Linked DNA regions of Tribolium castaneum. The protein of the gene in region 1 binds, or shares a complex with, the protein of each later gene. Links are inferred from orthologs where the notes say so. Each region holds a gene or a part of one and is shown in the gene's direction. Other genes may lie near its edges. The genes, in order: NiPp1 and splicing factor C9orf78.

Evidence for each region.
Region 2: NiPp1 (region 1) and splicing factor C9orf78 share a complex: the UniProt entries of both Homo sapiens proteins name them as parts of the spliceosome. The link is inferred for Tribolium castaneum from reciprocal best matches to the Homo sapiens genes PPP1R8 and C9orf78.

The regions. Positions count from the first base shown.
Region 1 is NC_087396.1:21,737,826-21,741,453, forward strand, and holds NiPp1 (nuclear inhibitor of protein phosphatase 1), read left to right. Parts: upstream 1-1,335; 5' UTR 1,336-1,562; coding exon 1,563-1,591; intron 1,592-1,714; coding exon 1,715-1,929; intron 1,930-1,997; coding exon 1,998-2,215; intron 2,216-2,272; coding exon 2,273-2,824; 3' UTR 2,825-2,892; downstream 2,893-3,628. Other genes in the region: EGF-like domain-containing protein 2, read left to right, coding at 1-958; Aprt (adenine phosphoribosyltransferase), read right to left, coding at 3,041-3,494, 3,533-3,618. UniProt on the Homo sapiens protein: Inhibitor subunit of the major nuclear protein phosphatase-1 (PP-1). It has RNA-binding activity but does not cleave RNA and may target PP-1 to RNA-associated substrates. May also be involved in pre-mRNA splicing.
Region 2 is NC_087394.1:36,668,126-36,671,367, forward strand, and holds splicing factor C9orf78, read left to right. Parts: upstream 1-1,563; coding exon 1,564-1,703; intron 1,704-1,751; coding exon 1,752-2,365; intron 2,366-2,414; coding exon 2,415-2,560; 3' UTR 2,561-2,604; downstream 2,605-3,242. Other genes in the region: casein kinase II subunit alpha, read right to left, coding at 204-1,254, 1,298-1,353. UniProt on the Homo sapiens protein: Plays a role in pre-mRNA splicing by promoting usage of the upstream 3'-splice site at alternative NAGNAG splice sites; these are sites featuring alternative acceptor motifs separated by only a few nucleotides. May also modulate exon inclusion events.

The DNA.
Region 1 (3,628 bases):
GATTTACTCCAAAGGCTACTACAACATGCCTGAATGTCGCTACGTGAACGAAAATTCCGAAATGACGAAATACCGCTTCACCGTCAGTTTGAACTCTTGTGGGACTGAATTTATCAACGCGTTTGATACTCAAGGACAGTCGTACCTGGAGAACGTCCTCGTGATCCAAAACGAGCAAGGGATCCAGGAGGTTTGGGACACAATCAGAGCTGTGAGGTGCCTCTGGGAGGGCAACCTGAAGGACTCCCTCAGCGTGGCGCTCAGCGTGGGGATGCTAAGCCAGGAGATTGTGACTTTCAGTGGGGACACCGCCATGGCCAAGCTGGACATCCAACTGGGCAAAGGCCCATTCGCGCCCCCGGCCAACGGTTTGGTCAAAATCGGGGAGCAAATGACCCTTGTTATCTCCGTGACCGGAGACCCCGGTTTTGACATCCAAGTCAAAGACTGCAGGGCTACGGACTCGACCGGCGACCGCGTGTACCCCCTAACCGACGAAAACGGCTGTATTCTCAAACCCAAACTATTTGGCGCGTTCCAAAAAACACGAAACACGGGAAATACCGGCGCTTCCATCATTGCCTACGCGTTTTTCAACGCTTTTAAATTCCCAGATGTGATGGATTTGATGATTCAGTGCAACATTGAGCTTTGCAAAACCGACTGTCAGGTGTGTCCAGAGCCCAACCAGCAAATCGAGCCTGGGAGGAGGCGCAAACGTGACCTTTCGTACTATAATAACACTGACGGGGTCACAATGGGGAAGCACCTGAGGGTCGTTTTGGCGGAGGATTTGAACGATATTGGCAATACTGAGGCCGCGTTTGAGGGGGAAGTTTGTATGACGACGCAGAATTTTCTACTAGTTTCGGCGATTTTGATCTCGCTACTCACTGCCAGTAGTGTACTAAGTGCTTGTCTCTGGTTGAAGAACCAACGGATTGCTCACAAAGGGTGACAACTTTACCACAATCCTGCCAATGTAGTTCCGTCCATTAAGTTATTGTGACTCCAGTATTTTATTTAAGTTTTTTAATTATCGTAGGCCCATATTTATGTAAATACTTGACTAATAAAGTAAGAATTTTGTAGCGTGGGGTTTTCTTTTATCAAGGTTGACGACAACGACAGACTAAATTTGTTTAATAAAAAAGCATAATTTTTTTGTATGGGACTTTATTGATTGAAATTTACATAATTTGAGGCGTAAAACTAGTAAATCATTACGATTCATTGTAAGCGATTAGTTCATAATACATATAAACGAAAAAAAAAAATGGTCTGGGTCAGGGTTTGAACCCATAACTTTTGAGTTGGTGTTGATCAGTTGATGATTCCTCGGTCATAAGCACTTTCGTACTACATAATAGCAGGTTTTCTCAAATCAATGCGGTGCCAAATCGGTACAAAAAGTTTAAAACAGTGATTTTATAACAAACAAACGATGGGCTTATTATTTGGGTGCGTTTTAATGTCGTTAGATTGACAAATAACGAGGTTGTTTTATTCGGCCTTGTGCAACTTCGGACGTAGCGTTATGTCACCTGCCAAAAAAGCGACAAATGGCAAACCATTATGAGGTGCCAAATTGGTAAATAATCCTTGAAAAATTGTGTTATTGGCCCCTGAACCCCTCACTTATCATTTCGCCCCCTTTTCTGTCACACAATCCACAAATCGTGTGTTTTTGTGTGTTGAGGTTATGCTGTTTCAGGGCAGGCAAGCCCCCCGTGGGTTTGCATTTGGACGTGCTAAAGGGCGACAAACTAATACAAAAATTGATGATCGACGACAAAAAGTGTTACTTATTTGGACGCAACGCCCAAATGAACGATTTCTGCATCGATCACGCGTCATGTTCGCGGGTTCATGCAGCCCTCGTTTGGCACAAACACTTAGATCGGGCGTTTCTGGTGGATTTGGGGAGCAGTAAGTGTCACGTGTGCGCAACTTAGGGCTTTTTTGTGTCAAGACTTGGATAATTTGCGTTGTTTTAGCCCATGGCACCTTCATAGGATCATTAAGACTTGAGGCGTATAAACCCACTCAGTTGCCTATTGATTCTAGTTTTCACTTTGGGGCGTCCACGCGAAATTACACGATCAGGGAGCGGCCCCAGACGGGCATGCGGCCGATCATTGACGAGATCGAAAAGGCGGGCGAGGAGACCGAGGGCGGATTGCTGGGGCTCCCCGAGACCGAAACGGAACTCGATGTAAACCACCCCAACCAGCGAAGCTGAGAGCTTTACAAAAAATATTTTTTTCCATAGAATTTGACGGAATTTAACACCGCCCACAACCGGCGGATATCAATGCTGGGAATCACCGACGACACGGAAAAACGCAACACCAACCGGAAGCGCAAACGCCAAGTCGTTTCCTTCAACGAGGACGAAGAGATCATAAACCCTGAAGATGTGGACCCGAGTATCGGTAAATTCCGAAACTTGGTCCAAACCACCGTTGTACCTTCAACCATCAAGAGGGCCAAATTCGCGGCTGAGAATATCGGAATCCCCACTGAATACAAAAATCCCAAAATCCTTCATCCCTCCGCCCCCGATTTGTACACAGACCTGCCCCCCGAATCCCACTCTCCAACCAGTTCAGGGAATTTAAGCATTTACAGTTCGTTAAGTTCACGCCTTGGAATGGTTTTACCCAATCCGGCGCCAGATGTCGACATGGGACAGAACTTCGCCCCGCCCACTCCCTTTGTCCCGCCCCAAGTACAAATTGCGGACGCCATGGAGCCCAAGAAAAAGAAGTATGCCAAGGAGGCGTGGCCTGGCAAGAAGCCCACGCAAACGCTATTGGTCTAGGATTAGGTGTAAGCTTTTGATGTAATTTTCTCAAGGTCATAGATTAAATATTCAATAAAAAACGAAAAGTAGTTTCTTTTATCGAAAAACATGGCGAAATAATTTCTGAATTCTGGGAAACAGTTTCAAACTAACACCAACTTGACAAAAATAGGTTTTTTATTTCACTACTTGATGGAATGCAAGGCACTCTCGATTGAAATATCAATCAAAAAATTAATATTTAATAATGGACAATACCTCTGCTGGCACCTTCTCCCGGCCTTTGAGCCCCTCGAGCTCCATTAGAACGAGACACCCTGCGACTTCGCCACCTGCCCCTCGCACGAGCTGGCAGGCAGCCCCTAGACTGCCCCCCGTGGCTAACAAATCGTCCACAAGCAGGACGCGTTGCCCCTTACTTATGCTATTTTCCTGAATTTCAACAGTGTCATGACCGTACTCGAGAGCATACTGCGCCGACAAAATTTTCCCCGGTAGTTTACCCTTTTTCCGAATTGGAACGAAAGGTATGTTCAAATCAATCGCCATCAACGGCCCCAAGAGAAACCCCCGAGCATCCAATCCCACGATACATTCAGCCGGGGGCTCAATTTTGCGTGCAAAAGACACCAAAACGTCACGTAAAATTGCAATGAGTTCAGGCTTTTGGAACACTGAAAACAAGTCCCTAAAAAGGGGTAATAGGCGAACTTGGGGGCGCGTTACCTGAAGAGGATGCCGGGTTTGGGGAAGTCGGGGTAGGACGTCACGTTGGCTTTAATTTGGGCGATTTTTTGGTCGAGATCAGACATTTTAGTGGAA
Region 2 (3,242 bases), on another chromosome or scaffold:
TGTATGGAAAAAAATCAACGCAACGTAACTACGATGCGTCAGACTAAATTATACCAAGCCCCTGTGGCCTAATGGATAAGGCATCGGCCTCCTAAGCCGGGGACTGTGGGTTCGAGTCCCACCAGGGGTACTCCTTTTTTTTCTTACATTATTGAAAAAAATAAACCAAAAACACAAAAATATTTTATTCTATACATTTACAATCAATGAACCGCTTGCCCCGACCCTGAAACCTTGAGCTTATCCAACCCTGGCAAAGCCCCCGAGCTTCTCACCGGCCCGAAATACTTATGCCCCAAGGCCTCCTGAGCCGTACATCTTTCCATGTGATCATAACAAAGCAACGATTCCAAAAAATCAAAGGCATTCTGATTCACTAAATGCTCATTCTCCGTATTGACAAATCTCTGCCAGGGTTTTTTCGAGTGAATCCCCAACATCTCCTGCATGCTACCTTCCAGCACAATGTTGTATTTATTCAAATAAGAGTAAAACTTGCTCGTGCCCAACACTTTAACAATGCAATACAGTTGGTTGCGGTTATCAAATCCTTGGAAGAAAGGTTCTTTACGGAAGATCATTGCGGCAAAAACGCACCCAAGCGACCACAAGTCGAGGGAATAGTCGTAATAACCGTACTCTACCAACAATTCCGGGCCTTTGTAATGCCGAGACGCCACCCGGACGTTGTAACGTTCTCCGGGACGGTAAAACTCAGCCAAACCGAAATCAATCAACCGGATTTTGCGATTTTTCCGGTCAATTATGATATTGTGCGGCTTGACGTCACGATGCATTATGCCCTTGCTGTGACAGAAATCAAGGGCTTTCAAAATTTCGTAAATGTAAAACCGGATATCGGAATCACTCAATTTCAAATAAACCTCCTTAAAGTCCTCATTATTTGACGGGGATTCGAAAATCAGGGCGTGCAAAGCTGTGGAAGGCACCGACACCACGGCATATAAACTCACAATGTTGGGGCCGTTCCTCAAGTGCTCCAAAATTTTAATTTCACGTTTGATTTTCGGTTTTTTGATCGGTTTTAGCAACTTGACCACGACCGAATCGTTAGTACCATCGTGCACCCCCTCGAACACTAGACTGTACTTCCCTTGACCGATTTTCCGAATCAAACTGTAATTGTTGATATCGTCAGTCGGGGGGTTGTAGTTGTCGTACTCAAAGTAGGAAGAGGGCTTGTTTGAGAACACGTCCGAGTATACCCGTGATGTTGTAACAACAACGCTACGACTAATTTGTGTTATTTTGGTAATTTTAGGCCTAAAACACTTACGGTGTGTCGTCCAAATCCATTTTTGGCACAAATTTTTTGAAATCTTTTTTTGACATTTGAAATTTAAACGGGGTGCTTACTTGTCACTAAACGACAAAACGAAAATCCCTAACCCGATTAAGCGAAAAACACAATTGTGGCTTTAATTTAATGGTGCCACACGAATTATGAATTATTTTGTGTTTTGTGAGCCAGTCTCGAGTGTCTTGTGGTGGTTTTGGTCGTTTTTGGTGTAGTTATTGGGGCGTCATAACCTCAAATTCGTCATGTCAACAAGTGGGATTAAAACCGAATCTAACGATTCAAATGACTCGAAACCCGTTTTTAAACGTAAAAACCGTAAACAGCTGCGCCAAAGGCGCCCCTCGGATGGTAGTGACCGAGAGGAGGACCTGGAGGAGGTCAGGTAACAAGACCCCCTTCACTGTGGTGCCTCCCCTAACGTTGCTTTTAGCACCAAACTAGAAGAAATGAAGGAGTTACAAAACTTGCGTAAGCGCCCCCATGGAGTCAACGCCTTGGGGCTAGCCCTAGGTACCAAAATCACCATCGAGGACGAGTGCATTTCAAAGGACCCTTTCAAGGTGAAGTCCGGCGGCATGGTCAACATGCAAGCCCTTAAAAGCGGCAAAGTCAAGCAAGTCGATGATGCGTACGACACTGGCATAGGGACCCAGTTTTCGGTCGAGACGAATAAACGTGACGAAGACGAGGAAATGATGAAGTTTATTGAAGAAGAGTTGTCGAAGAAGAAGCGCAAGGTCGAGCCCCAGGAGCAGGCCGAGGCTGAGAACAAGTCGGCGTACACCAGCCCCGAGGAGGCGGCTTTGAGGGCAGTCCCGGACCATTTGAGGGAGTCGTCGACGAAGAGGTCGGAGGAGATGTTGTCCAATCAGATGTTGAATGGGATTCCGGAAGTGGACCTGGGGATTGAGGCCAAGATTAAGAATATTGAAGCTACGGAAGAGGCGAAGTTGAGGCTGCTGTGGGAGAAGCAGAATAAGAAGGACGGGCCTTCGCCTTTTGTGCCGACGAATATGGCGGTGAATTTTGTGCAGCACAATCGATGTGAGTTGGCAGAACTGCTCATATTTGGAGTTTTTTACTTTTTTTACAGTTAATATAGACGCAGAGGTTGCTAAAAAGAAGGCCAAGTTGGATGATAAAGTGGAGGAGGCTACGGAAAAGCCGAAGAAAAAGGATGAGAGGGCCACCGATGATTATCACTACGAAAAGTTCAAAAAACAATTTAGGAGATATTAGCCTTTTGTAGTGTTTTTTATTTTTGAATAAATTATTTATTTTGATTTGTTTTTATTTCTTTTAAAAATCCGAGCAAATAATCACTGTGTTGTTTTGAAATTCATAACTCAAAAACTAAAAGTCGTAGAGCAATGCGGTTTGTTCCATTGGATTCAGCGGCTTTTTTTCTCTATTATACTAATTTTTCACGCAATTTAAAATTTTCAATTTTTTTTGCTCAAATTTCCTGAGTACCTTCAAGAGGTGAAACAAAAATTTTTTTTTAACTAACTCTAGGAACTTTTTATGGACTCCTACATGTCTTAACAACCCACAAAAGTTGTTAAAAGTCCACAAAAAGTCCAAATGTTCGATTTTTTGATGTTTGATTTTTTCAATTTTCGTCGCAGTTTTTGTCGATTTTGGGTACCCGGAACATTTGTCGAGCAATAGCTCCGGAACTATTAGAGATAACCCCATGAAGTGTATTATCGTTGGAAAGCTCTTTAAATTATCTATTTTTTTCAAAAAAGATTATTGTTCTCCGACTAATAGTTTTCGAGCAAATTGCTGCTAAATGCAAAAATTGGTAATATTTTAAAAAATTCATAACTAAAAAACTATTGGGAATTTGGCAATTTTCTCGATGCCAATCGATTCCCCGGATCATTTTGCAGGGATATGGACCAAAACAGTTCCACTT